Linked DNA regions of Diceros bicornis minor. The protein of the gene in region 1 interacts with the protein of each later gene in a biochemical or structural test. Links are inferred from orthologs where the notes say so. Each region holds a gene or a part of one and is shown on either strand. Other genes may lie near its edges.

What was found.
Region 2: the proteins of TOM1 (region 1) and TOLLIP form a complex in vitro, tested with the Homo sapiens proteins (3 studies listed by BioGRID and IntAct, with this or other methods). The link is inferred for Diceros bicornis minor from reciprocal best matches to the Homo sapiens genes TOM1 and TOLLIP.

Annotation. Positions count from the first base shown.
Region 1 is NC_080764.1:14,275,525-14,290,475, reverse strand, and holds the start of TOM1 (target of Myb1 membrane trafficking protein), read left to right. Parts: upstream 1-6,514; 5' UTR 6,515-6,596; coding exon 6,597-6,648; intron 6,649-14,951. Other genes in the region: HMGXB4 (HMG domain-containing protein 4), read left to right, coding at 439-561, 1,052-1,096.
Region 2 is NC_080770.1:697,472-713,400, forward strand, and holds the start of TOLLIP (toll-interacting protein), read left to right. Parts: upstream 1-8,926; 5' UTR 8,927-8,975; coding exon 8,976-9,008; intron 9,009-15,929. UniProt on the Homo sapiens protein: Component of the signaling pathway of IL-1 and Toll-like receptors. Inhibits cell activation by microbial products. Recruits IRAK1 to the IL-1 receptor complex. Inhibits IRAK1 phosphorylation and kinase activity.

The DNA.
Region 1 (14,951 bases):
TTAAATGTTAATGTATAGGGCTGTAGAATTCTTGTAGTTATCATATTTGAGCTATATTTGTGGAGTTCATAAGAAAAATACTTTTGCATACATGATCTCCACAAATCTTCCCAGCAGCTCTGTGGAGGAGGTAAGACATTTTTTACTATTTCTAAGTATAGGCATTTTTTTTACTATTCCTAAGTGACTAACCCAAGGTTGCATAGAGGGTAAGATGGATTAGGAATATAGAAAGGAAACCTGGGAGTGTATTGTAAAAAGTTTTCTTTTTAAACAACTTACAGAGTTATCAAAGCAGATACCTTCCATTTTTGCTGCAAGTTTCATAGAACTGCCTAAGACTTAAAGAACCCTGTAAGGAAATCACCCAGAACATGGAGAGCACCCAGAGTGTGATTCGAGTTACAAGTTCCTCCCCTTTAATGCTCTCCCTTTCAGGGCATGGTGGCCGTGTCTGGCAGTTTGTCCGTGCTTCTGGATTCCATCATCTGTGCGCTTGGCCCCTTGGCGTGTCTGACCACACAACTACCTGAATTGAATGGCTGTCCCAAACAGGTCTTGGTGAGTTTTCCTTGGATTTTTTGGGCTAAACTCCTTGGGAGGCAGAGAGGCACTGCCTGAATGAGCTCTATCAGGCACAAGCTCCTAAGGCTTCCTGGCCTTCCTTTGCATATCGGCCCATGGAACACGATACTGTATTGTTGAGTGTGTGCCATTGCTTTGGTGAAACGGGAAGACATGCCATGTCCTAAAATAGTCCTTTGAAGAGAAGCATGCCTGCCCTAGAGGGCTGCAACTCCTGTGTTTCCTGTTTGCTCTTCCTCACGCAGAGAAAGTACAGGAGTCTTCTGCCTCCTTTCTACCATGATTAATGGGAGCAGTCAGTAGAAAAGCTCCTGGCATGACGGACAACAGGATGCCATCTTCATTCTCCCCTGTTGTCTCTAACTCTGGTTTTTCTTTCTCATCTCTCTGCCTTGAACAAAGAAATGTGCCTCGGGGAACTAAGGTAAAGTACTCTTCAGTTGAACCTTTTTCCCTTGTTTTGCAGTCAAACACATTAGACAACATTGCTTACATCATGCCTGGACTGTGACAGCAGAGAATCCTGGGACAGAAACCTTACCGACCCCATTGCTGGTTTGTGTGTATATGACTGTTCCAGATCCCCTCACTGGCCTCTGGGTGTAGGTTTTAAATTTTTATATATATACATATATATATATATAAAATGTACAATATTTACATAGGACTGTAACTACTTTGCTTTTAATAATTTTATGAAATGGCAGAGGTTTAGCCAAGAGGAAACCTTGGCATGAATGTGGGCTTGGGATTCTTTTTTCTCCTGTGGTGGATAAATCTGCCTTAAAAATCAATGTAACTTGGGGACTGGAGGCTTGTTCTGGGTGCCAAGTGCATCTCTTTATGGACAGCTAAAATGTAATTTTTTTCCAAACTCAGTTGTACCTCCAGACCCATCACTGACCATTTGCCTTACCTGTCTTACAGTCTGAAACGTAGTAGGAAGGATTATGGGAAGATGCCAGTTGACTGAAAGTACAAAGCCTTTCAACTTGAAGTGACCTAGGTGGGAGGTGATAAAATTGTTCCCATCTTACAGTTAGTGCAATGGCTTCGGTGAACTTAGTAGGGGGTTCATTCCAATTCCTGCTATACAGGTGTCCGTGTCTCAAAATTTATTGTAATCATTGGTACTGTTGGTGGCCTTGGTAAGGGCCAAGGAGTTATGTGAGTCCTGGCGGCATAAAACACCTCGGAGAGGTAAAGCTGTCAATGCCGCCAGTTGAACTGCATATATAGTGAGCTGACCCAGAATATTTGATCTGCAGAACTAAGAGCTGGTATCGTCCATTGGCAGCATTAGCTTAGCCACCGAGTCCTCAGAGGTTCTGCTGCTTAGTTGCTTGGTGGTTGTGGAAGAGGAACTTTACCCAGCATGATTCTTGGGTTCATCTTGTTGGCTCCCCTGGTGGGCAGATACACAGTGTTCTGCATTCCACACATAAGTGAATTGCAAAAAAGTACTCGATTCTCATGTAGATTTATTTATGTGCGCGTGTGAATGTGTGTTTTAATTATGTGTATTTAACTCTTTAAAATCTCTTAGATTTTAATTTATCCTGTAAATTTCTGTATATATAATTTAATAACAAAAGCCTCCACCAGCAACAGCATGTGGAAGATACAGGTTTGTCATTTCTTCCTTCCTTCCTTCCTCTGGTCTCCTCTGAAAACTCCAAATCATCTACATTTGAAGGTATCGTGCCTCAAAAAGGAATCATTATGTCAGGATTCTAATTCTTTATAATTCAATAATGTCAAGAAAGTAAAATAAAAAGGAAACTTACCATTCCCAGCTGCCCTTATTTCCAAAGAACCAGACTTTTGCTTCCCAGTTTCAAAGAAGACTTCAGGGTTGTTTTTAAATTAGGTGTGAGATTCCCTGCCAAAACCAAGCTCGGAGGTAACCGTGCTTTCTTCCCCGGGTCTAGACCAGCCACTGCAGCATCAGAGTAGATCTTTGAGGACAGTGCGGCCAACCTGCATCCTATTTAATTCCTTCCCTTTCCCCACCAGTGTGGTCACCGGGCTGTGTTTCTTAAAGGTATTCTGGCTGCTGAATGCCTTTCTCAGCTCAGAGCAGTTCTGAGATTTAATTGGAGAAACAGAAAGAAACAGGAACGTTTGGGAACCAAAATCAAGAAGAGCAGAAATCTTGGTTTGATTTCGTGTGTGAGAACCTGTACCACCCCTCTCTGTACCCATGGAAGTTTCCTGTTTGACACGGGGATCAAGGGGGGCCTTGAAGGCATGGATTAGTACAGAAAGAAGTCAGTCCTACCATTGTCATTTGCACACATTAATGGAATCCTGATGAGGACCTGCTTTTTGTTTGTTTTCCTTTAAAATCCAACCCTGTTGTATTTGTATTTAAAATTTGTACACATTTGTATAATAATCTGTATCTTGTGGTATTTGGTACTATTAGAGGAAAAACTTTGGATTCAGACCTTCTTGCAGTTTTTATATCATTGTTTTATTTTGTTTTTTAAATAAATTCTAGCAGTTTGATCCAAATCCCATTACAGTTGTATAAAGAAATAAAATTTTGTACTTATATTATTAAAAATCACATTTTTATTATTTGTAGTCCAGTCTCAGCTATCTTTTCCCTGCTGCTAACCAAAAAAGCTACAAAATTATAAAACCTGTTTTTCACACGATATCCTACAATAATTTTCTTAAAAAGAAAAATCCATCTGGAATAGAGGTCAAGTTTCTGATCTTAGCCATTTTCCTAGCACACATCTTGCTCTGTTTCTATTAACTGTTACATTGTGGAGTCTCTCGTGTTCTCTCTTTTACAAATTGTAAACCCGGTAGCTCTGATAAGTGCAGCTCTATTCGCTGGCAAATGAAATTGTATGTACATTGCAGTGTTGGCCTAACTCAAGAAAATGTCTATCAGTCTTATATAAGGGTTGCATCTGAATCACGTGCTTGAATATATTTCATACTGTTTCAGTACTGTCCTGACTTAGTGAGTGATGTTGGTTAAGTCACTTAATCTTTATAGGCATCCAAAGTCCCATCTGTAAAACAGTGTTAATGTCACTTTCCTGATCCAAGCCTGCAGCCAGCCAGTCTGACATGAATATTTAATAGTATTGTGAACATTTAATATATAGAGATTTGACCTTTCGAGGTAAAAATTTCAATGCAAACACAATATGTTAATAGTTATAAATAGTGAGACATTATGATTGATTAAAAGGATAACTTCTTATGGAGAGGCAGCAAGGAAGAGACCACCATATTACTGAATGACTATTATAGAGTGATGTGCATATTTTATCTCACTTAATCCTCCGAAAAGCCTTATGAGTATTATCCCCCTTTACAAATAAGGAGACAGATGTAGAGAAGCACTTTTCCTAAGTTTAGACAGCTAGTAAATGGCAAAGCCAGATAAGCACACTGGTACAGCTGACCCCAAAGCCTAGGCCCTCTCCTACCCCAAGCCACTTTCACACTTAAATTGTGTGTGTAATTCATCAGAATCCTTCTCTGTTATCTATAGTCCTGAGCAAATGTGATTGTAGGGAAACTATCTGAGACCTTTTCATTGTTCCACTGTTGTTTTGTCCTAGCTGGCTTTCACTATACAGGCCTCACTTTTCTTGTCATACTATTGTCTTTAAACTTTGGAGGCAAAGTATCTTGATTTTTGTCCAAAAGTACTTAAAGGATGTAATAGATTACATTACATTTATGCAATATGTCAATCTTAAGGAACTTAAACATTTTTACCCTCAGGAAGGCATTTGATATTAATATTGCTAAAACACTTAAAAGGAAAAATTAAGACAGACTTTTTACTAAATGAGTTTGTTCCTTGTTTGCAAACACTTTTAAAACATAGTTTTAATCAGTTTTGTACTACACTTAATATTTGCCATTTACATTCCTGTCATGTTGACAAAATCCACACACTTCCTTTGCTAATTTAATAGCTATATAATATTCTGTTTGCACGGAGTTAATATGACTGCACTCTGTGTTTGGGGATATGTAGGTTGTTCCTGCTTTTTTACCATGAAGGATAAAATTTATGTCTGTTTTATTCTTGGCAGTAAAGCCAAGATCTTCTGCCCATAATCACTTTAAACCAGAGTGATCCAAGAAGGCAAGAACTTCTGGTAAATCACCACCCAACATGGGAATGTTCAAGATTGTTAATGGAAGAATCCAAAAGAAATTCGTGCTAAATATACTCCATACAACCAAGCCATATGCTTAAATGAAGAAAAACATGGAAGGTACCTGACATGAAGTTCATCTTAAATATACATCCCCCTTTATAGTCCAAATACCATTACTGAAAGGTAAATTATTTAAATTTTCATGTTAGTCACTGCGCTAGACAACAGTGGTGAGCAAAACACAGTATCCCAGCCCTCACAGAGCATCCAGAGAGGGAAGGCGTTTATTAAAAGGTCTCATGAGCATTATTAAAACACTTCGGAGGGGGCCAGCCTGGTGGCGTAGTGGTTAAGTTCGCGAGCTCCGCTTCAGCAGTGGGTTAGGATCCTAGGCATAGACCTACGCACCACTTATCAAGCCATGCTGTGGCAGGCATCCCACATGTAAAATAGAGGAAGATGGACATGGATGTTAGCTCAGGACCAATCTTCCTCAGCAAAAAGAGGAGGATCAGCAACAGATGTTAGCTCAGGCCTAACTTTCCTCACCAAAAAAAAAACAAACACTTCAGAGCTCAGGAGTACATGACTTCCATAAAGTTTTTCTATTGTACAGTAAGGATGTCAGCCCCTATGGCTGCTCGAACAGGTTAACATACAAAAGTGATTGAAGTTCTAATGTAGATTTTCCATCCTAATTTTGTGCAGAGTCAATTTACCAGCCTTGCAAATTTAAAAATCACAAGAATCATGATCAATAAATAGTAAAGCACCCTGCAGTAGCCCAAACTACCAAAGCAGTGGTTATTGTATCTTTTGGAATGCATGTCATTGGAAGGAAAAAACATAACCAATAGATCAGATATCTAACGTGTAGGTGACATATCCAAAACATGGTACACAGTCAGAAAGGCCGAAGAAGATATTCGAATTACAAAGCTGGGAAAGGCCTTTGAGCTTTTTGGAGTCCACTGCTGTACTTTAGGGACCCAGAACCTCCCTGAAGTTAAATTATATCTCTGCCTTTTTTCTTCAGAAGGGCTCATGGCTTTCTTCAAATTCTCAAAGGAGACTGTTACCTAAAAAGAGGAAGGTTACGAGTCCCTGATCTAATTCCAGCATCCAGAGAAAATGGAAACTCGCTGTTTGAATCACACAGTAAATTAACAGCAGAGATGGGTCCCAGGCCCCACTCGTGCTTTCTGCCACCCTGGGCGGTAGCCCATCCCTAGCTGTAATTCATGGAGTTGGCTCTCAGTGGCAAGAGATCGCAAACCCCTGGCCCTGGCCTCCGATTTGAGGTAAGCGAATCTGGGCAGCAAGCAGGGCACATGTTGCGTCAGGGAGACCTCGACATCAGATAGGGAAAGTCCCATCAGGACAGGGCGACAACAGGCCAGAGAGGCTGTCAACCCCCGCGGCGGGTATGTAGTCACAGTGTGGTCGGAAGGGCTAAGGGCCGAGTGAGAGCTGTAGTCTAAGCGTAACCTTGCCCAAGTCACTTCCCTGCTCCCACACCCAGTTTTCCAGATGCGTTAAGATGCTTAGGTCACGCCCCTAAACCTTAAATAAACGTCGAGGGCGTGGCTTAGAGAGGTCCACGCCCCCAAGTCCGCCACCGCCCCACGTCGTGCGTGACGTCCGCCGACGCCGAGTAAGCCGCAGTGACGTCATCGCCCTCCCCCCTCGGGACGCCCAACCCTTCACGTCAGGGGCGGGGCCTGAGGCCGCGCTCCACACTCCCTCTGCCCCGCCCCCACGGGCGCCTCCTCGCGGACCGTCCGGCACGTCACGTGACGGGTCGGCAGCGCCGGCGGTTGCTGTCAGCTGATTCCCCGGGTTGGTGGCAGCCGCAGCGCAGCAGAGGCGATGGAGTTTCTCCTGGGGAACCCGTTCAGCTCTCCGGTGGGACAGCGCATCGGTGAGTCTCCGGAGCCCCGCCCAGCCCCGCCGCAGGGCTCTGCTTCCGGCCCCGACCCCCCGGGGCGCCTCCGGGTCCCCGGTCACACACCGGAGGGAGGCGGGGAGGGGAACGAGGCCGGCGTGTCTCTCCTGAACCGGCCCCGCCCAGTCTCCCACCTTGATTGACAAACTCCGTGGTCCATTAGGAAGCCTCGACTTGTGATGGATGCTTACGTCAGCCAATAGCTAAAGAGAGAGGGCGGGTTCGGGAGGCCGCGGCTCAGCCAATGTGCGGCTACTGTGGTCCCGACTCCACGGAGAAAGTTTGGGGGGTTGAAGGGTCTGCGCGGTTTTGCAATTCTTGCGCCCCTCGACTGTTCCCCGCGTCGCGCCTCCAGTGCGGGTCGCGCCGCCTGGGGTCTTGCCGTCTCCTTCCTGCTCGCCAGGCTCTCCGCACACGGATACCTGAGAAGGGCTGAACGTCCATTCTCCCAGGACCAGGAGTCCAGGGCTTGGCGTCTGGGCGACGACCTGCGGGGAGGGGCCGGTCAGCCCTGCCTGCCCCGGGCCCGGGCTAGACGCTGGGGAGCCCGCTCGACCAGGCGGCCATGCCTTAGCGACCAGGGTCTCAGGACGTGCTTGCCCTGGCAGTCCTCACCTGCTGGCATGAGACCCACCGCCTAGCGTCGCAGACTCTCTGGGCTGGAGGTGATCTTAGAAGCCACCTGCTTCGGCCTCCCTCATTTCCCGGTAGATGATCAGCCAAGGGCTCTGGCTGGAGACACAGGCTTACTGGGAGCCCAGGTCTCCTGACTCTCTTGCCGCCTGTTGACGGGAGACCTACAAGTCTTGTGATGTTGCCTCACTGTAGAGCTCAGGCTTCCTCATCCGTAGTTAGGGGATAATAATGGTCCCTACCTCCGTGGGGTTGTTGTGAAGATTAAACTCGTTAATAAATGTAAAGTACTTAGAACAGTGACTGGCACATGGCCAGTGCTATATAAAAGAAAGTCATAGTATTTATTATCGTTGTTCCTGATATACCACCAAGCGAGGGTCGGAAATCCCTGGAAATGGCTGGGCGGTAGGTCTCATGGGTGCTCATTCCTGCCCACCAACACGGGGAGGACGCACAGGCCCTGGCCCAAACAGCTAACACTTCTCCAGGGACGGTCTGGGTGTGCCTCCTTCTCCCATGAGGAAACCACTGGCAGTACTGTGAAATTCTCTCTTCATCTTTTTGATGGTTTTTAGCCTTAAGTCCAGACTGGGAAAATTGTATCTTTTAGACAAAATATTTTTTCCATTCTTACCGTCTTGGAAGCCAAACCTTGCTCAAGTCTGCGGACCCAGCTCTGTGGTGTAATGTCCAACATGACTGTTTGTGGCTCTTCTGAGGTTTTGTAATCACCTCTCTCCAAGAAGGGGGTGGCAGTCAAGGATTTACACACCAGGAAGCTCCTGGACCAGAGAGCGGAAGCTGCCCTCTCAGGACCACCGTTCCGGGACCTCCCCCACAAGACGCTACACACACACACACCTCCGGGACCTCCCCCACAAGACACTATACACACACCAATGAGTCATTGTTTTGGAGCTGAAAACAGAAAGCAGCTCTCCTCTCGTCTTTATTTCTCCAGCTACAGATAGCACTGCTTTCATCACATGCCAAGTTTGAGACTTCCTACTTAAAAATAAAAAAAAAAATCTGGCCTTCAAAGTCAGCCACAGGGCTGGCCCCGTGGCTTAGCGGTTAGGTGCGCACGCTCAGCTGCTGGCGGCCCGGGTTTGGATCCCGGGCGCGCACCGACGCACCGCTTCTCTGGCCATGCCGAGGCCGCGTCCCACATGCAGCAACTGGAAGGATGTGCAGCTATGACATACAACTATCTACTGGGGCTTTGGGGGAAAAAAATAAATAAATAAAATTTAAAAAAAAAAAAAGTCAGCCACATATTCCTGAGGATTTCTAGAAAAGTTCACGTGGACTCTGGGCTTTAGCTGATCGGAGAAAACAGCTTCTCTTCTACCCTGAAGGGTTTCGAGTCTTGGGCAAGAGGTACTCTGTCGAGAGAGAATACTACTAAATCATAGCACCTCAGAGCCCAAACCGCCTTTTACTGCCGGAAGGGTCCTTCCCCTGGGGACCTTCGAACCCGGGGCTCTCAAGTGTCCCCTGGAAGACTTGTTAAAGCGCAGGTGGCTGGCCCCCACCCCTAGAGTTTCTGACCCTCTACGTCTGGGGTGGGGCCCTAGAATTTGCATTTCTAGCAAATTCCCAGGTGATGCTAAAGCCACTGGATTGGAGGGCCAGCCCTGTGGCTTAGCGGTTGAGTGCGCGCGCTCCGCTGCTGGCAGCCCGGGTTCGGATCCCGGGCGCGCACCGCTTCTCCGGCCATGCTGAGGCCGCGTCCCACATACAGCAACTAGAAGGATGTGCAGCTACGACGTACAACTATCTACTGGGGCTTTGGGGGGAAAAATAAATAAATAAAATCTTTAAAAAAAAAAAAAAAAGCCCCTGGATTGGAAACCACATATTGCAAACCTCTGTTCTGGTCCACTCCCTTCATTTTACACAAGAGGAAACCGAGGCCCAGGGAGGGGAAGGTGGAGACTGACTCACCCCAGACCCCAGTGAATTGATAGTGAAGCTGAGATGAACTCCCCCAGAACCAGTGAAACTTGAGCCAAAGCTGAAGAGGCTCTAAAAGTAGAATTAAATGAAGAATAGCTGCGATCTGAGTTAATGCCCTCAGTAGTCTGTGTTTTTCTTGTGGATAAAGAGGCGGAAGTACTGCTGATTGGCTGTGATTACTGATGACCCACTGTTAGCCGCTTGTATTTCTGTCAGCTGCAGGAGTAACATAATCTCTTCTCAAGCCTGCCACCTCCATCCCCTTGTTGAGAGGAGAGCCCTGTAGAATTGGCATCCCTGAGCACAGTGGGTTCTACTGGTGCTCATCAGGGGTGTCACTTGACTCACAAGTGCGCACACGCTTGGACACACACACACACACCCCTTTGTGCTTGCTGCACCCTCTGCCTGGAATGCTGTCCTGTGTGCTTCCTTCAAAGTCGCAGGCATCGTCACCTCCTCCATCTCCTCCCTGAGGGGTACCCTGACCCCTTCCCTGACCCCTTCCAATCCAGCCATTGCTTCTGTGTTCTCCCTTCAGCCAGCTCCTCAGGCTTCCTCACTGTCTGCCTTTGGGCTCGGAGCCTCCACTTCCTCCTGGGTGGAATGTGGTTATGACAGCATCCGCCTGTCAGGGTGGTTGTGAGGATGAAGTGAGACGCTCCCTGGAGAGTGCCTGGCACGCCTCGAGTGTGCGGGAAACATCCGCTTTGCTGTCATCATCGTCTTTTTTATTATTTCCACTGGCCTCACACGCGTGGAGCACTGTCCCATTCTGTTCGTAGTTGTGCATGTGTGTCTCCTTGAGAGCAGGGAATGTACCTTATTTATCAGGACCCTTGGCACCTAGCATGGCCCCTGGCGTGTAATAGGGTAGAAAGGAGAAAAGGAAAGTAACATTTGTGGGCAAATACCATGTGCTAGGCACCGTGCTAGTATGCTAGGTATTAATCTTCACAGTGACCCCACAAGGTTTTGCTATTTTTTCTCATTTTACCAAAAGTAAGTCTGAGGGAAGGTCCAAGGTTTCCCAGCTAATCAGGGTCAGAACGCAGACCCGGGTTTCTCTGGCTCGGAGCCCAGGTCCCCCCCTGCACCCTCAACACATTGCCTCTGGCTGATCAGTTCTTACTTGGAGTTTACATTAGTCCAACGCTCCGAGGTCCACAGTTGCTGTTCTACCCAGAGACTAGCTTTTCTGGTTATGACGCACACGTGGGTCTGTGTGCATTTCCAGATCACTCACCCTTATCTTTTAGTAGGAGAGCTTCCCAAGGGCAGCAGCCTGTGGCAGAAAGGATCCCAGATCATTAGAACTAGGTGGTGTTGACACAGCCCTCTTCTTCCAAGAACTTCAAAACCCTTTCCAGTATCCTCCAAGGACAGAACTTCCTGGCTACATTTTGTAGACAGATGTCAGAAGGCACCCCAAGAATCCCATTTTGAATTTCTGGCTGTCAGCTTGGGCACTTTGAGCCAGAGACCCAGCTGACTTATTAAAGCAAGCTGCAACCAGCAGACACTGTAAATATGGGCAGTCCCTGGGGACCAGCCCCTAGTAGTTGGATCTAAGGGGAGAAGAGTGCAGAGCCTACAGCTGAGCTCTGGGGTAGACGGGAGAAGGGGAAAGTGGATGGAGAGAGCTCTCCTTGGACCCATAAAGGGCAGGGGAGCCACAGGAAGGGATAGGAGGTGAGAGACCACAGATGCTCGTAAGGGAGAACACCCTGGGCCCTCTGGGTGCCATTTTGGGTGTGATAAGCTGGAAGCCAGACTTGGACACTCAAGCGATGTTGTTGAGCAGGCAGTGGGCTGGGAGGCAGGAGACCTGGGTCCAGCTCCGGTTCTGCTCCTGCCTGTGTCACACTCCCTCCATCGCCCATCCCCTTATCTGTAACGTAGAAGTGCTTCCGTTCTCCCTCTATTTCCCAGAGGATTGATGAGGAACAACTGAGGGGGCAGATGAGGACAAGGAAGGGTTGATACTAGAGGGAAGAAGGAGACTGATGGCCGTTGTGGAGCAATAATAGAACTGATTCCACGAGGCTCAAGGGCAGACTGTGATGTTACAGGAGAAGGAGCTCAGTGCCAGCATAAATAGCTGTCCCTAGCACCTTTCAAAGATGGACCGGCTGCCTTGTTTGGTACTGAGCTCCCCGCCACTGGAGGTGTAGGCAGAGGCCAGAGGGGAGGGAGGCTGTAAAGAAGATTCCTGCTGTCAGGGTGGACTAGACCAGGCTCTGCCAACGTTTTCTACTGTAAAGGGCCAGAAAGTAAATATTTCCAGTTTTGTGGGCCTTATGGTCTCTGTTGCAGCTACTCAGCTCTGCCGTTATAGCACAAAAGCAGACATGAATGGGCGTGACTATGTTCCAATCAAACTTTATGAACACTGAAATTTGAATTGCATGTAATTTTCACATCATGAAATATGATTCTTTGGGGTTTTTTTCCCAACCATTTAAAAATCTGAAAACCATTCTTAGTTCTCGGGCCATATAAACAAAAACAGACTGAGATGGGCAAGTGGGTTCATAGTTTGCTGACCTCTGGGTCAGAGCTACTGGCCAGAGGCAGAGTGATGGAGGGCGGTGTTCTTCCAGGTGGGTCCCAGAACACCCACATCAGAGATGCTTGAGGGCACTCCTGCCGTGGGGCCACTGAGTCAGGACCTCTACCGTTTCTCACAGCATGGCCTGGGGAGCCCTCACGTCTTGGAGCTCCAGTCCCCTGCTCTGTAAGTGCTGGAGCCAGGTTAGAGCCCAGGTCTCTGTCCTCAGGATAACAGGGAGTGATGTCCAGGAAGGGCTTTGTGTCAACTGGCCGCGCGGTACCCACAGCCGTCCAGGATGAGCTCCTGAGTCAGACCAGATCGTCTGAGTCCTGGTTCGGCCTTCACTGGCTTTGTTTCCCAGGGCAAGTTACTTAACCCGTCTGTTCTTCAGTTTCCTGTCTGTAAAATAAGGACGATAATAGCACCTATCAGTTGGGATTGCTGTGTTTTCGTGTCGTAAAGACCGTAAAGGTCTGCCTTATTGTGCCTGCCAGACAGTAAGCATCCATAATTGTTAGCTATTGTGATTTTTTCACAGGCGTTGCCATCATTGCTGGGGTGTAGTCTAAGTTAGTGGCAGAGCAAAGGTGCCAACCCAGGGCTCTGGCTCCAGTGCAGCATCTGTGTTGGTCTTGGTGTCACTGGGAATGAGCAGTCACTGGCTGGGTGGCAGTCACATTCACAGACAGGTCAGGTTTCAGGCTGTGCGGGGGAGCTGATTCTCACTTGGGAATTAAAGCCTTTGTCTGACCCCACGGATGGAGCTGGTGAATAGGTTTTGTTCCCTCACTGAGCTCAAAGAAATAAGAGTCAAGTCCCGGATTTCCACTCCTCTGGTTTTGGAAAAAAACAAAAACCCTCAGTGTCTTCTAAGTAGCTTGGGGCCATCACCCTGTGAGAAGCAGGGGGACTCAGGACAAGTTAACTCTTTACCTCCTTACCAAGGAGGCGGATCTAGGCTACGGTCCCCAGACTTCCGTCCTTCATGCGCCACCTTTAGTTTTATTTTCATAGTGTTTTCCTTTTATGGGCTCACCTTTTTTAATTTGACCTCATCCTGTGTAATTATATCCCTGAAATCATGACTGATGAGCTAGTTCATGTTTGTTTTTCTATTCTACATTAAAGAAATATGCAGGTCTAAAAACGTCTTTAAGTTGGCCCATGAGCCCACCTCCCGTGATCCTGGGTAGCACGTTTTGGTCACGTGGATGTAAGTGGTCTGAATAGGGACAGGGCTTGGACCCTGCATCAGAAGACCTGGGTTCAAGTGCCAGCTCCACCCCTTTTCAGCTGTGACCCCCATGCCATGCCAGACATGGGAAACTTAGCAGTTGATGGAGCACCAAAAAGTGCCATGGACAGCCAGGCTGCTGTGCAAGACCCGGGGAGGGCCTGGGCTTCACTCCTGATGGGGGAGGTGGAGAAGGGGGGGAAGCAGGAGGGGAGAGGAGCCAGCCAGACCATGTGAGGCTGAGACCAGCAGAATTTAAGCACAGACAGAGGTGTCCCTGTTCGACTGGAACTTGTTTGCACTGATGCAGTATAAACGCCGGGGGGGTTAACTTTATGTGTCAACTTGGCTGGGCCATGGTACCCAGATATTTGGTCAGACATTATTCTAGATGTTTCTGTAAGGTATTTTTTAGGTGAGATTAACATTTAAATCAGTGGACTTTGAGTAGAGCAGATTACCCTCCATAAAGTGGGTAGGCCTTGTCCAGTCAGTTGAAGGCCTGAATAGAAGAAAGACTGGCCTCCCCAGGGGCGGAAATCCTGCCTGCGGATGACCTCTGGACTTGAGCTGCCTCTGTGCTCTGGATCTCCAGCCTGCTGGCCTACCCTGCGGGTTTTGGACTTGCCAAGTCCCCACCATCCCATGAGCCAATCCCTTCAAATAAATCTCTCTTGGTAGAGTGTGTGAGTTGTCAGTAACATTTTTTACATTCACACGTGGGGGGAGGAAAAAAGAATGTCCTGTCCACCTGGGCCAGCCACTTCAGGCATCTGCTTTCGCAGCCTCACTCCCTCTTACCTGGATGGTTTTTACAAACCTTTCTTTGTCTAACTGGAATTTTCTTCAGTTAGATACTATAGTTAGTTACCTCAACTTTGAAATTGTGGGTTGCAGAAGTTGTGCCTTCTGTAAGGTATTTTAGGGTTCCTCTTGTGGCCTGTGGTTACAGAATGGCAGGGGAGAGGCAGCCAGGGTTTTGAGGAAGGACAGCTTAGCAATTTAGGAAACTGATGGAACTTTCCATGCTCGGTCTGGAGAGAGCTGTTCATTTGGAAATTAGGCTTCAAGATAGTTTGCCGGCTGAAAAAAAATTACTTCTGCACGTATGCAATTTAAAAATCTATTTTGTATGAGTGCTTCAGATTTTCAAACAGTAACTTTCTGGTTGATATTTTTGTGGTTGATAACGCTTGTTGTGGTGCTTGCTGTGTGCTAGGTAGGATACAAAGGGCTTGGAAGGCTTTCTCTCATTTCTTCCTCACGCAGCCCTGGAAGGTGGGCGCTTTAGTGATACCCATTCTGCAGAGGAGGACCTGCGGCACAGAGAGGTTAGGGAATTCACTCAGGGTCACACAGCTAGTGAGTGCTCAAGTCAGGACTTGAACTGGGATTTGTCTGTGTCCAGACCCTGTGCTCCTAACTTTTCCCCCTCATTGCTTCCCCTTAGAACTAAAAGGGACCTGCCAGGTTTCCTTTTGAGTGAAAATGTCTGGGTCCATCTAGAATGAATGTGTTCCTAATGCTTCTTTCTATATCCACGCCCCGCCCCCGACCTTTAGCATATCGGTTTCGTCCTCACGCGGCAGGAAGCACCCCTGAAGGCACCAGCTGCCCCTGCCTCTGTTATCAGGAAAGCAAAACCTTCCCCAGGAGCCGCGCAGGAGAATTCCACTTCTGCCTCAGGGGCCGGACCTGGATCACAGGGCCACTTCTGGCTGCAGGGAGACTAGAAGAGCTAATTGCCATGGGCCGGTGAAAAGTGTCTTTCAGAACGACGAAGCCTGTAGGAGTGGGCTCTGTGCTGTAGAGTTAATACACATCTAATGTAGTCTCAGGGCGCATTCATACGAATACCACACCCCGCGTGGGCAGGTGAGTTCCCACCCTGCACTT
Region 2 (15,929 bases), on another chromosome or scaffold:
TTACTCCAGACCTCATGGCCCCCCAGACGCCCCCCACACGTGAACCCAGAGTGTCCAATCCGACTCAGGACCCCGTGCCCACCTCAAACCACCCCCTCCTATGTCCCAGCCAAGGCTACAGGACGCAGGGAGCCCAGAATCAGGGCATGTGTGAGACGAGAGAGACGGAGTTAAACCTTAAGGTCAATGCAGGCAGAGTGACAGCTGTCAGAGCTCAGATGACCCAAGGGCTGAGGGGCTCCCTGTCCAGCAAGGCTGAGCAGGAGTGCACTTAGGGACAGTGTGACATTTCCAAGGGAAAACGTGTGTGGTGTGTGTGTGTGTGTGTGTGTGTGTGTGTTTCCAGGTGTCAGAAACCCTGACCCAAGGACTCGAGGTGCTTGGGGTCAGGGTGCCCCACCTCTGGGATGTGTGGCAGGTTATTGGTGGTCCCAAAATATGCGTCCAAGGCCTAACCCCCAGAGCCTGTGGGTGACCTTATTTGGGAAAAGGGTCTTTGCAGCTGTAGCTAAGTTAAGGATGTCAGGAGGAGGGCGTCCTGGATGACCTGGGTGGGCCCAATGTGTGCCAGGGAAGAGACAGAAGAGACAGAGAGAGAGAAGGAGGCCACGTGAAGATGAGGCAGAGGTTGGGGTGATGTGGCCACAAGCTCAGGAACGCTTCGAGCCCCCAAAAGCTGGAAGAGGCAGGAAAGACACTCCGCTGGAGCCTCTGGAGGGAGCAGGGCCCTGCGACACCTGGATGTCGGACTCTGGCCTCCAGGACTGTGAGAATAAACATGTGTGATGGGAGCCCCCCATCCCAAGCGTGTCCCCAAAGGGGCCGACTGGCCATAACGACGATGATCTGATGGACATGGGATTATCCATGCGTGGGTCTGTCTGCAGGGCAAGGGTGAGCCCGTCCGGAATCCCGGGTAGTCGGCTGCCCTCTGTCCACTTGGTGGGTCCTGGTTCTCCTCACCAGTTTCATGATAATCCCAGGGCTCACATTTCCTGACCACGTGCCAGGGTCTCCTAAGACGCCGGACCAAAATGACTTCTGGTGTGTGACCTTTACGGGTCCCGTGGGTAGATATTCTCTCGTCTTCACGGGTGAAAAATCGAGGTCTGAAGAGCCCCCCCGACCCCGATTGGCGCCAGGCCATGCAGCGGGTGGTGCAGAGCCCGGGTCAGCACCGGTTTGTCTCCTTTTTCAGTGAAATAGTAGGAGACAGACGGTGGCACAAGGAGCTCCCGGTGACCGGGCTGGCCGCCGCCGTGTTCCCCACGCCTGCTGTAGATCTTTGTTTCTTTATAAGAGATTGAACCTTTCAAGTTTGGGGCAGCCTTCCCAGAACCTAGCTCCTGTCCCCTCTCCCTGGTTCTCTGTTTCCTTGTCCCACCCGTGGATTCGTGGGGTTTTGTGCTGTAACCTCTGGGGGTCCCAGGTGCAGAGCGGGGTCGGTCATCCTTCTCACTTTCCCCATCACTGGCGAGTGGCCATCTCCTGTCTGTACTTCCATCTCTCGTCCCTCGTGGACTCCCCAAAGCCCTGATGTACCTGCTAAGCTTGTTTGGAGCACGGGGAACACACCCCCTACTGTGCACGTGCCTTTGTGAAGCATGTGGTGTTCTGTGTTTCTTTAAACCTCTTCACGGAGATATAACTCACATACACTGAGCTGCACACGTTTAAAGTGGTCAGTTTTGACTTTTGCAAATGACCCGGAAAGCATCGCCACAATCAAGATAATGAATGTGTCACCCCCCAAAAGTTTCCTGTGCCCCTTTGTCGTCCTCCCCCACATCTCTCTCCACCCTCTCTCTGCCCGCCCCTCCTCACGGATCCCCTTTATGACGTCACAGGTCAGCTTGCATTTTCCAGAATTTTAAGCATGTGGAACCATACAGTACGCACTCCTTTACGTCTGGCTTCTTTCACTCAGCAAAATTATTTTGAGATTCATGCGTGTTGTTGTCTGTGGCAAGACCCCATTCCTTCTGTCGCTGGGTAGCATCCCGTTGGGTGGATATACCCCCATCTGTCTGTGCACAGGTTGATGGACATTCGAGTGGTCTCCAGTGTCAGATCATTACCATTCAAGCCGCTGTGAGCATTCTGTGTAGGACGTGTGCTTTCATTGTCTTAGGGAAAGACCCAGGAGTGGAATCATTTGGCAGGCATACGTTTATTCTCTTAAGGAACTCAATAACAAGGAATCAAAACCTTTTGAGAAACTGCTAACCTGCCTTCCAGAGGGGTCGCACCATTTCACCATCTTGCCAGCAGTGCATGAGGGTCCCAGCTCTCCCACTTCCTCACTGGTACTTGGTAAGGTCGGTCTTTTTCATTTCAGCATCCTAATCGTGTGTAGTGGCATCTCATTGCGGTTTTAATTTGCATTTCCCTAAAGCCTAATATGTTGGACATCTTTTAACGTGCTTATTTGCCGTCCGTATATCTTCTTTGATGAGGTATCTATTCAAATCTTTTGCCCATTTTTAATTGGGTGGTTTGTTTTCTTGTTACTGAGTTTGAAGGGTTCTTGACATATCCTGCATACAAATCCTTTATCAGATATATGATTCACAGGTATTTTCTCTTGGTCTATGGCTTGTCTTTTTATTTCCTTAACAGTGTCTTTCGAAGAGCAAAATCTACTAAATTTAATGAGGTATAACTTATCATTTTTTTTCTCTCATGGATTGGGCTTTCGCTGTTGTAGCTAAGAAATCCTTACCTAAGTCAAGATTACAAAGATTTTCTCCTGTTTTCTTGAGGAAGATTTATATTTTTACATTTTACATACAGATCCGTGATTCATTCTTAGTTAATTTTTCTATATGATGCAAGATATGGATCAAGGTTAACGTTTTTGCATATGGAAACCTAATTGTATATGGATATCCTACACTTTTGTGAAAAGACTATCCTTTCTCCAGTGAATTGCATTGGCATTTTTGTCAAAAATTAATTAACCAATTTGTAGTTTCTGGTTCGGCATGTAAGAAGCTTGAACGTCGCCACCCGTCCAAACAACAAGTGAAAAACTGAACAAAACAGGGGCAGCCTGGTGGTGTAGTGGTTAAGTTCACACCCTCCACTTTGGCAGCCCAGAGTTTGCGGGTTCAGATCCTGGGCACGGACCTACACACTGCTCATCTAGCCATGCTGTGGTGGCGTCCCACATACAAAATGGAGGAAGATGGGCACAGATGTTAGCTCAGGGCTGATCTTCCTCACCAAAAAAAACCCACGGAAAACTGAACAAAACAAAAATCAACAACCTTCTTTGATCCGTAGGACAAGTGAGGTCACAGGGCAAGCTGCTGCCCCCAAGTTGGAGAGAGAGACAGGTGAGCACAGGGAGTCAGGGCTCCCTGGAGCAGCTGTCTCCACGGGAACCAGTGCTGGTAGGAAACCTGAACTGTAATTGCTGAGCAGCTGGAGGCTCGGTGGGGACAAGCCCGAGAGACAAAAACTCCGGGGGGACCCCGTCATAGGAGCCCCACGACATTGTGAGATTTACCTCCGGGAGCTCCATCAGGTTCTCACAGCAAATATCGGAGAGAAATCCGCTGTGCTTCTGGCAGAGGGAGGGCAAAGGACCCATTTTGAAATGGATGGAGAAATATGTATCATGCTAATACTAATCGGAAGAAAGCAGGAGTAGCTATATTAATTTCAGACAGAGAAGACTTCAGAGCAAGGAAAGTTATCAGGGAAGAAGAGGGGCATCATGTAATGATAAAGGGGTCACTTCTCCAAGAAGACATAATGATCCTGAACGTGTATGCACCTAACAACAAAGTGTCAAAATATGTGAGGCAAAAACTGACAGAACTGCAAGAGAAACAGGCGAATCCACAATTAGAGATGGAGACTTCAACAACCCTCTCTAAGAAATGGGCTATGCAGTCGGCAGAAAATCAGTCGGGACACAGTTGGACTCAACTACACCATGAATCCACGGGATTTACCCCCAAGTATTTGATTTTTTTGATGCTATTGTAAATGGTATTGTTTTTTATTTCAATTTCTGATGGTTCATTGCTAGTATGTGGAAATACAATAGATTTGTGTTTACTTCCCTTAAATTCTGCAAACTTCCAAACTCACTAATTAATTCTACTAGCTATTTTGTAGATTTTGTGGGATTTTCCACAAAGACAATCATTTTGTCTGTGACTAAATAAGGTTTAACTTGTTATTTTTAACTGGGACGCCTTTCATTTCTTTTTCCTGCCTGATTGCCCTGGCTACAGTCTCCATTACAACGTTGAATAGAAGTAGTGAGCGAGAACATCCTTGCCTTGTTCCTGATCTTACAGGAAACATTCAGTCTTTCACCATCAAGCGTTGGCTGCATGTTTTTGGTAGATATGCTGTATCGAATTGAAGGAGCTCCCTTCCCCTTCCTATTCCGCAGAAAGTTAATACCTAGGATGGAGCTTGGATTTTGTTGAACGCTTTTCTGCCTCTCTTCAGAAGGTCATCTTGTTTTTCTTTTTTACTCTGTTAATGTACAAATTACATTGGATGATGATTTTCAAGTGTCAAACCACCCTTGCATTCCTGAAATAAATGCTATGTTGTCATGAGGTATTACTCTTTCTATATATTGATGAATTCTATTTGGCAAAAGTTTTGTTAAGAATTTTGTGCTGTGGCTCATGAGGAATGCTGGTTGGCAGTTTTCTTTTCTTGTAATGTCTTTGTCTGGTTTTGGTACCAGCATAATGTTGGCCTCACAGAATGAGTTGGAGTGTATTCCCTCCTCTTCTATTTTCTGGAAGAGCTGGTGTAGGATTGATGTTATTTCTTCCTCAAATATTTGTAGAATTCACCAGTGAAGCCATTTGAGCCTGGAGTTTTCTTTGTGGAAAGGTTTTTACCTTCTTTAATAGGTAAAGGACTATTCGGGTTATCAATTTCTTCGTGATTGAACTTTGCTAATTCGTGCCTTGCAAGGAATTTGTCTATTTCACTGCATTTCATTTCATTTAAGTGAAGCTGTTCATAACACTCCCTTGCTATTCTTTTAATATCTGTGGAATCTGTAGTGATGCCAACTTTCTCTCTCCTCGTATTGGTGATTTGTGTCTTCTTTTTTTCCTGATCAGTCTGCCCAGAGGTTTATCAATTGTATTGATCTTCTAAAAGAATGAGCTTTTGTTTTCAACAATTTTCTCTGTTCTTCTGTTTTTTATTTCACTGATTTCCTCAATGACCTTTCTTTCCTCCTTGTTTTCTGCTTACTTAGAATTTAATTTGCTCTTCTTTTGCTCGAGTCTACAAGATGATGGCTGATGTCAGTGACTTGAGGCTTTCCCTCTTGTCTAACACCGGCCTGGGGCCCCTACCTACTGCTTTGCTGCACCCCCACAAAACACGATGTGTCTTCAGTTCAAAAATATGGTCTTATTTTCCTTTTGGTTTCTTTGTTATATGGGTTATTTAGTTGTGTGTTATTTAGTTTCCAAATATTTTGGAGATTTCCCAGGCACCTTTATTATTGATTATTGATTTGTTGATCTTTATTACTGATTTCTAATTTAATTCCATTTTGGTCAGAGAACATACTTTGTACGATTTGAATCATTTTAGACTGTTTTTTGGCCCAGAATATGGTCTTTCTTGGTAAATGTTCAGTGTACACTTAAGAATGTGTATTCTGCTGTTATTGGATGGAGTTTTCTATAAATACCAATCAGGTCAAGTGGTTTATAGTGTTGTTCAGTCTTTTATACCCTGCTCAGTTTCTATTTGTTCTATCGACTGTTGAGAGAAGGGTGTTGAAATCTCCAACTACAGTCGTGTACTTGTCTGTTTCTCCTTGCAGTTCTGTCAGTTTTTGCTCCAAGTATTCCAGACGTATAAACTTTTAGGGTCTTTACGTCCATTTGATAGGTTTATCCCTGCGTCGCTGTAAGATGACCCCTTCATCTTGGCAGCGTTTGGGCAAAGCTTCGAGTATTCTACTCAGCGTCCCGTGGGTCATGTGCCTTTTTACTATGAGTGGTGGGAACGGGAGCTACCACTGGCCCTGTGTGGGCTAGTGGTATTACTTCTGTAATTCTTTCAAGGGGTTCTTTCCCCAGCCTTGGGCAGTTTTATCACTTTACGGTGTTCGCTGATCTGTGCTCAGCCGCAGGCTCCAGGGGGAGCCCCTGCGGACACCGTTGCCCTTTCTCTGTGCCACTCTCTCCCCTCTGGTACTCCGCCCCGCCAACGCTGCCTTCCAAGTCTCCTTGACGTCTCAGCCAAGCCTCGGCTCAGGGAGACCACTGGTCTTGGCCTCAGTTCCCCCTCCCTGCACAGCGGCCTGGAAACTCTCTCCTGGCTGTACACAGAGGAAGCCCTAGGGCTTACCTCATTTGTTTCCTGTCTCACAGGGACCGCTGACCTTCATTGCCGGATGTCCAGTGTCTTGAAAACGGCTGCTTAATATATTTTGTGTGGATTCGAATAACGTGTACAAGTTGTTCTGCAAACATCTACTTACTGTTTCTCCCCATTGCGTAGTATTCCACAGTGTATACCCATCGCACTTTATTTATTCATTCCTGCAAAGATGACTAATTAGACTACCAACTTCTGCTACACAAACAACCGTGCAACACACAGCCTTGACTGCGTTCCCTTGTGGATCAGTGTGAGGATGTTTCCAGCCTATCTCTCAGGAGAGAGCTCATGGAGCACATGTAGTTTGCTAAGCACGGCTGCATTGCTTCTTGGAGAGCCTCCTCCAGTCTGCAGGCCTACCAGCGACACAAGAGCTTCCCATCGCTTCAGTTCTCACCTAGACCTGATGTCCCACCCTTCCTAGTTTTTACTGTTCTGATGGATGAAAAGTGGTACCTAGTTGCTGTTTTATTTCTCTTATTCTTCACGAGTTCCAGCACCCCTTCATATACTTGTCAAGCATCTGGGCTTCCCCTCCTTGAACTGCCAATTTTCCTTTTTTTTTTTTTTCTCCTTTTCTCCCCAAAGCCCCAGTAGATAGTTGCACATCATAGTCGCACATCTGTCTAGTTGCTTTATGTGGGACGCCGCCTCAGCATGGCCGGACAAGCGGTGCGTCAGTGAGCGCCTGGGATCCGAACCTGGGCCGCCAGTAGCGGAACGCTCGCACTTAACCGCTAAGCCACGGGGCTGGCCCCTGAACTGCCAATTTTCAACATCAGTTCACTTTTCTGGTCTCCTTTTCCCTTGTGACGTATGGGAGGTGTTTATACACTGTAGACATTAATTGCTTGCTGGTGTTCATCTGTCTGTCATCCTTATCTATAACGCAGATAACAAAAGCATGGACTCCATAGCATTGTTGTGTAAATTAAATGAGATAACACAGGGCCCAGCCCCGTGGCCTAGCAGTTACGTGCTCTCGCTCTGCTTGGGCAGCCCGGGGGTTGCAGGTTCAGATCCTGGGCGCGCACCGACGTACCGCCTGTCACTCATGCCGTGGCAGTATCCCATATAAAGTAGAGGAAGATGGGCACAGATGTTAGCCCAGGGCCAGTCTTCCTCGGCAAAAAGAGGAGGATTGGCAACAGATGTTAGCTCAGGGCTGATCATCCTCACACACAATAAATAAATAAATAAATAAATAAATAAATGAGATAATACGTATAATGCACTTAGAACAATACCTACCACAGATGAAGCACTCAGAAATGTTATTTTATTATTTTCATTACTCAAAGAATCCCACGCAAAGCTGTGCAGAAAACCCGTCTGGGGCTCTTGGTACATTAGGATGTTCCACGAATGCCGAGGCCGACATGTGCCATTACGAGTTGGAGCCTGGACACAGGGGTAATTCTATGATCAGGCTTCTTAATAACTCTTATCTAGAAGGAGAGAAGACTGGAGGGAGGGTAAGGTGTAATTGGTAAGCAGCAGCTGGCCAATCAGCCAGGATAGGGAGGTGTTTGTCATTGGGCTTGGGCGGTGTTTGTCTTTTGTCTGTGTTCACACGATTACAGAGTGGTCGTGGTTTTCTACTGACAGTCACTTGTCTGATCTTGTGAAACTGCTCATGTTCAACAGCAGAACTCCAGGCCCAGCACAAGGGAGGCCTTTCTCCCCTCTTTCTCTGACTGAAAATAAGGAAGCCTCTACGGAGACTTGAAAGGAATTCCTTATCTCCTGCAGCTTGGGGGTAGATAGGGCTGAGGGCTGGGCAGAGAATAAGGGGACCGTGAAACGACGGTGGAGGAAGGAAGCTGGGATTATCAATTTAGGCCTCATCCCTGACACATACATGGAGAAGCAGCATATTCTAGAAATAGCACCCTATTTCTGCTTATGTCGGTAATTCCCCTAAGAAGCACCGTCGATGATCACGCTTCAGTTCTGCCGCGGGTGGGAGCCCGGCTTAGCTGGCCCGCCCGGTGTCCCCGGAACACGCAGGCCCTGCGTCTTCCGAGAACTGCAGCCCACACGCGCCCTGACTCCTGGTTTCTGAAACTTAAACGTAAACGCTGCTCCCGGAGAGGGTACAGGGAAAACCAGGGCTGGGGGTGACACGTGCCCCGGGTAGGAGCCACATCCACCCGCGGGCGCCAGTCCGCCCCTCGTGGTGTCGCCGCCCTCCTTCCCGGGGGCCTCCGGACGGTGGCCCTCCGCCCGGGGCCCGCCCCCTCAGGGCCGCAGACCCGTCGTCCCCAGGGCTGGGCTCCGCGAGCCGCCGGCCGACGACGGGCTCGGACCAGGCCCCTGACCCCGGGCGCGGGCGGCCGGCGGGCATGCGCAGACCGCCAGCTCAAGAGCCATTTCCCGGGGCCGCGGCTCGGGGCGAGCGACTGCGCAGGCGCCCGCCGGGAGCGCGCGTGCGTGCGTGCGTGCCGGAAAGGGCGTGCGGACGGCGCGGGGGCGGGGCCGACGTCAGCTGACTGTGGCGGCGGCGGCGGCGGCCTCGCGGGCGCAACCGTCGGCTCGGCGCCGTGGGTCGCGGGCGCGGCAGCTCTCGGCGGGGCCGGCGCAGCGCCATGGCGACCACCGTCAGCACGCAGCGCGGCCCGGTGAGCTCCGGGTGGGAGGCGGCCTGCGGCGGCGGGCGGGCTCGCGGCCTCCGGGGCGCACCGGGAGGCCGACTGCGGGCTCGGGGCGAGCGAGGGGAGGCGGCCGGGCCGAGTCGGTCCCCGTTGGAGGAGCCCCCACACCCCGGATGGAGGAGGCCCGCCCGCCAGGGTGGGTCCCCCCGTTAGAGAAGGTCCCCGCAACCTGGGCGGTCCCCGGATGGAGGAGGCCCTCCACCAGGGTGGGTCCCCCGATAGAAGAGGATCTCGCAGCCTGGGTGGGTACCCGGATGGACGAGGCCCCCTACCAGGGTGGGTCTCCCGTCGGAGAAGGTCCTCGCACCTCGGACGATCCCCGGATGGAGGAGGCCACCCACCAGGGTGGGTCCGCCAACAGAAGAGGATCTCGCACCCCGAGTGGGTCGCCTTGTAGAAAAGATCCGCGTACTCTGGGTGGGTCCCAGGATGGAGGAGGCCCCCTGCACCCCGGATAGTCCCCAGGTGGAGGAGGCCCCCCACAGGAGTCAGTCCCGCAGATGGAGGAGGCACGTTGCTCCTAGACTGTGCCCTTACAGAGGAGGACCTGAACCCCGATGGTCTCTTGGGTCCCCAGACGCCCTCTCTTCCTCCGGGCAGAATGAGGCTCAGAGGCCCAGCTGTGTCCCGGGTTAGTGGCCACTGCTCAAACCCTCAGCGTTTTCATTTGCAAATGAAAGGATGGGAGCCGAGAACCCGGGAGTGCCCTCTGACCCCCAGCTCTCTCATCCCGGGGCTTCCATGCGGCTCAGTGCTGACTGTGCCGTGGCAGGAGGACGGGTGTGGACCCGCTCAGCAGGCTCCGGGGGAGTGGCCCCCAGCAGCTCCTTCACACTGGGCTGGGTCGGGTTGTCATGAGCAGTGAGGTTCTTATCAACAGAGGCTCAAAACGTGCAGCAGAGGAACATTCTGGTCCTTTTGAGTAGGGAGAAAGGTTCTTCTGATGGACAGTATCAGCGCCCTCACTCGGGAGGTCCGGGTCACCAGCGCTCCTCACCCTCCCTCGAGGCCGGGTGTTGAGGATCCTGCTGTGTCTCTCCGGCTGGGGAGGAATCCGCGCCACAGGACGTTTCTCCTGAGTGTGCAGGAAGTCCCGGGTTTGGGAGGGGCCCCTCTGGGCCCAGACGCTCGTCCTGAGGGCTCTGAATTGGACCTGACCCACACTTCTTGTCGGGCTCGGTGTGGAAGCGTCCAGAGTCCTAGAGAGATTCCCGTCTCTCCGTCCTCACTCTGTCACGGGGAACTAGAGCAGGGACTGCCAGCAGCGTTTCCTTCTACACTGCAGGCTGCTCAGAGAAGCGAGGGCACTGAGCACGCAGCTCCCTCCTCAGCCCCGGGGAAGCCATGGGCCTAGTGGTCAGGCAGCCCCGCCCGGCCAGGCCTGTCACGTGTCCTCAGCCTCCTGGTCCGGGGCCTCGCTGGTGGGTGGGACTGGCTGAATCAACACGCCATGCGGGGCTCAGTGTCTGCACGAAGGGAGCACTCAGTAAAGGTCAGCTTGTCCTGTCCTGAGGGAGACCTCTGCTCTGTGACCGCCGTGAGAGTGTGGAGCGTCAGAGGGAGTCCCACCGGGGCCCCGTGCCGCCAGAGTGCTGACGGTCCATGTGTCTGGTGCTTCCCGGGTTTTCTGTTGCAGCGCCTCGTGTGGTCCATGTGCATTGGTGTGCAGCACACGTGGACCAGCGGGGGTTCTGGGGCGCCTCCGTGACCTGTCCACGGCAGTAACGCTGGGTCTGGGCCAGAGCTGCTGGGGGCTCCAGAAAGGTGTCCTCAGTGGCTGGGGTCTTGAGTGCCACTGGAGGACTTGTGACGTGCTCATTCTGCCAGTGGTCCTGATGAGTATATTGGGCAGTGCAGTCCTGTGAAGGACCGGGTGTGGTGCCTGCCGTCGGGTTCTTACAGCGTGGCACGGGAATGCCTAGCACCTGAAACACACGGATGAGCCATGCGGTGATGGGCACACCCAGGTCTGTGGATCTTAACTCGAGTTGGGCGTCAGCAGTGGCCTCCCCTGGGTGGGGGTCGGAGTGAGTAAGGTTCTTGGAGGGAGGAGCAGGAGTTGTGGGGTGGGTGGGAGAGGGGAGCACTGAAAGCAGAACTGGGCCGGTCTGGGAGATGGAGAGGGAGAGGCCTGCTTGACGAGCCGGGGTGTGGCGGGCTCTGGAAGGCGAGGAAGGGTCCTGAGTGGCAGTGCCTGTGCTGGTGTGTGAGGGAGCAGCCAGTGTGGCCCGGGTGCTGTTCTAGACGGCTGGCAAATGGATTTGGCCCTTGAGTGTTATCAGGTCACTACAGTGTAAATTGTTTTTCAAACGTTTTTGCCTGGCACACCCTCTTTACTTTCCACCTCTCCCGCCCAGCCTGCAACCCTCTCGTTAACCAGTACTTGTAAGGACCCTTCCCAGGTATTAGCATCTGGACAGCTCTTCCTTTTCCAGCGTGCTTTGGCTTGATACTGATTGAGCCCCCACTCTGCGTTGTGTGCTCGGTGCCAGCGAGGTTCAGGGATGAGCAGGGCGCTTGGCTTGTAAACAGGAAGACGCTGCGATCCCAGCTGGTGCTGGTGAAGGTGGCGCTTGGCAAGTGCTCACTGTGCTAGGTCCTGGCGGGCAGCACTCCTGTGTTAGCCCCGTGCCGTCCTTCGGGCCGGTCCCTGCCCGCACAGGTTGGCGTTCAGCCAGGGAGCCCGGAGCCTGGACTTAGGCTTGCTCCCTCAGGCGACTCTGAAGTCTGACCATTGCCCCCCGCTGGTGATAAAGCGGTGACAGGCAGAGCTCCTGGGAAGCTGGAGGAGGAAGGACAATCTGACAGGGCTGGGGAGATTCCTTTGTCCTTGAGCAGGGCGCCTGAGGGGGCTCTTGAGGTGGGCGTGATGAGGAAAAGTGGGAAACTAGCTACTCCGACTCCGTGCCTTCCGTTTGCTCTTTCTTCCGCAGAGCTAATATGGTTCTTTGCTTAAATTTCAGGAGATGTGGCGTTTACAGCCGCAGGATAGGTTTTCCTGGGTGGCCCTTGAGGCATGCCCCAGCCCTGAGCTGTGTTTGCTCCCCTTTATCAACGCTAGTGTTTTTGTAATGACGACCGTTTTCTATCCAGTGTTTCTGTCCAGTCCACAAAATATTACAGAGGCCCCAGTGGGCACCTACAAGGAGTAATTGTGGGGGCCTCCTGCCTTCAAGTTAGAACGCTGGGAGGTTTGCAGGACATGCTGCTTTAAACCACAGCGGCGCAGTCAGCTCGAGGGGACGGCAGTCGAGGCTTAGTCGGGGGCAGCTTCAACTTTTTTGGCAAGCTTCCTTCATAGATGTGTGAGTGTGTCCCACTGAGTCCAGACTGGTGGGGCCCCAGGCCGATGGGGGATCCAGGCTGATGGGTGGTCCAGGCTGTTGGGGGCCCAGACTGATAACAGCTACTTGTCCCGCTTTTGAAGATGCTGGTTGATCTGCAAGTTCTGGGGCAGTCAGCGAGGCCCTGCCTTTTTAGGCTGCCTTTTCCGTCTTGAGCCCTGTGGGCGATCTGTGGGTGGTGCTGGTGGCCCGTGACTGTCCAGATCCTCATCAGCCTTGGCTTGTTGATAATTGTTGCTGAACCAGGGACTTCATTAGGGGTGGCAGAGGGTGATATTTGTGTGTTCTCACTCGTTCTACATTTATTAACTGGGGCTGTTCATCAAGATGCGCTTTCTCCACAACCAGAGCTGTCTGGCTGCCCTGAAGTAGTTTGTACGGGAAAGGCAAGATAAATGCTTGGTTAATTTAATTTCCCACATTCAGAGGAGGGAGTTGGTTTTCTTTTTGGATTGTGTTTGGCTTTCTCCTTTCTGAGACTGTTGTAAGCCCGTGGGTTTCATACGTTCGCTGTCCGAGTCCCTGACACTCTCTTCTTTCTCAGATGAACCCATCTTACCCTGCCAGCGCCTTCCTGTGGGCCCTGGTCCTGGGCGGGCCGTGAGCGTCCCCACCAGCTGGTGGAGAGTCCTGTTTCTCCGCGTCCCTGTGAGCCTTTGCTCAGGATTCTTTGAAGCTGAGTCGTTAGTGTGTCCACGTTTAGAATTGCAGCGTCTTCCTGTAAGCCGGCTGTGAACAGCGACCTCGCTGGCCTCGCGCAGAGCCTTTCTTATCTGGTGTGACGCCAGGCGGCTACGCCTGCTTTCTTTGAGGGAGTATTTGCCTGGTGGGGTTTTTTTCGTTCTTTGACTACGTCCTTCTGAACATTTATGCTTAGGATTGGTCTGTTGTCAGCAGCATAGGGCTGGATTTTTAGAAAGTCACTTCTGAGGAGTCTTAGACAAAGTGTAAGTCTTTTTCTTTTAACTGGAACATGTTAAATAGTTCTATATGTATTGTTACACACGCTTTTTTTCTTTAAAACACTTCCTTTTGTGCTTTTATTTGTCCTGGTTTTCTTTTTCTCTCCTTGCGTTCTTTTGGATTGACTGAATATAGTTTTTTTAATTCAATTTTTTGTTCCATACTGGTTTGGAAAATACATATTGTATTTCTGTTCTCTTGGTGGTTATCCTAGAAGTTTGAACACACAGGCTTATCGGGACCTAAGGTTAGTCATCGTATTTACCCTCCTCCCGATGAGTGTGCTGCCTCATGTGACCTCTTCCCGGCCTCCGTGCTGCTGGTCGTGTGTAGTGGCTCCTTGCTTTTCCTGTCCCTCCTTGCGTCTCAGACCTTCCATCTGGGAGCACTTTGCTTTTGCTTCTGGTTCATCCTTTAGAACTTGCTTTGGCGGCAAACTCTCAGTTTTTGTGTATGAGTGCCTTTTCTCTAATTCCTGAAAGATATTTTTGCTGTGTTTGGAATTCTGGGCGACAGTTGTCTTCTCGTCCATGAAGGTCTCATTCTGCCATCTGAGGAGTCGGTGGTTGCCGTCCTTTCCTCAGGCTCCCCTTCCCCTCCCCTGTCTGTGTCTCCGTGCATTCAGCACCCTCTGGCCCCTGCTCTCCTCTGACAGCGGCTGTGAAATCTGCCTGGGAGTGTTTGGTGTGAATTATTTGAGTGACAGCTCTCTAACTTTGGGCCAGTTGTTAGCATCTTTGTGCCTCGGTGTCCTCTTGTATAAAGCTTTCTCACATGGTTCTTGTGAGGATGGACTGAGTCAGTGTGTGTAAAGCGTTTGCCCCAGCCCTGGCCTATGGGGTGTCCTGGAACGTGGGAGCTTCTAGGTCCCTAGGAATTATTTTTCTTGTCTCAAAAAACTCGGCTCTTCCTTCTAGCCCTCCCTGCCTGGAGTTTTGTGTGCACCGTTTACCATCTACATGCCTCCTACTGTTTCCTCTTGCTTCAACAGTGGCTGGACTGTGCTGGGGGGTTGGGTTGTGCGGGGCTGTGGGTCCCAGGAGGGGCAGGTGCATCAGCTGAGGACAGGAAGCCGCCTGCACTTTGAGGGACTGCGGGAGGTAACTGCAGGTGGCGGGAGCGTGCTTCAGGCAGAGGGCATGGCAGCAGCTGGTCTTAGGTGTTGGGAAACTCTCCCGGGGGAGTGCTAGGGCCTCTCGGGCTGCCGCCCAGGGCACAGGTGACAGCAGCCCCTCCCTGCTCTGAGGTTATTGCTTTCCCTCGGGTTTCCTTCCACCTGCTCCTCCTCTTTCCTGTCTGTCCTCAAGCCCCTGGGGATCTCAGCTGGGGTGTCAGCTGGTGTCCAGGCTTCAGGCCTCTGACATGACAGTGACTCCCAGGCCTTCTTCCTGAACTCCAGATCCATTGCCCCTCTGCTCCTTGCTGTCTCCCTAGAATGTTCTGAACATTGCAGACGGAAAGCCGGCCCCTTCTCTCAGACCCCCTCCACTGCCTTTTCCCGTCCCATTTGGTGGCAGCTCTATCCTTTGTGTTGCTCAGACCAGAACCCCCACATGACCTTGCCTCCTCCATCCCTCAGGAAGTCCTGCCGGCTCTGCCTTCAAAGCAGATCCAGAATCTGGTTCTTTCTCAGCCTCTGCACCGCCCACATACTGTCACACTCGCTCCACTGGTCCACCTACTGTTACACCCTGCAGTCAGGTGCCAGGCAGAGCCAGACATGAGGTGCAGCACATGTCGGCTCCTCACCTGCCCCAGGTTCCTCACCTACCCTGACTCCGCACCTACCCCCGCTCCTCACCTGCCCCTGACTCCTCACCTGCTGCAGCTCCTCACCTGCCCCAGGTTCCTCACCTACCCTGACTCCACACCTGCCCCCAGCTCCTCACCTGCCCCAGGCTCCACACCTACCCCAGCTCCTCACCTGCCCCTGACTCCACACCTACCCCCGCTCCTCACCTGCCCCGGCTCCTCACCTGCTGCAGCTCTCACCTGCCCCAGGTTCCTCACCTGCCCCGGCTTCTCACCTGCCCCCAGCTCCTCACCTGCCCCACCTCCTCACCTGCCCCTGACTCCACACCTACCCCAGCTCCTCACCTGCCCCAGGCTCCACACCTACCCCAGCTCCTCACCTGCCCCAGGTTCCTCACCTGCCCCTGACTCCACACCTACCCCAGCTCCTCACCTGCCCCAGGTTCCTCACCTGCCCCAGGCTCCACACCTACCCCAGCTCCTCACCTGCCCCAGGTTCCTCACCTGCCCCTGACTCCACACCTACCCCAGCTCCTCACCTGCCCCAGGTTCCTCACCTGCCCCAGGCTCCACACCTACCCCAGCTCCTCACCTGCCCCAGCTCCTCACCTGCCCCAGGCTCCACACCTACCCCAGCTCCTCACCTGCCCCTGACTCCACACCTACCCCAGCTCCTCACCTGCCCCAGGTTCCTCACCTGCCCCAGCTCCTCACCTGCCCCAGGCTCCTCACCTGCCCCAGCTCCTCACCTGCCCCAGGCTCCACACCTACCCCAGCTCCTCACCTGCCCCTGACTCCACACCTACCCCAGCTCCTCACCTGCCCCAGG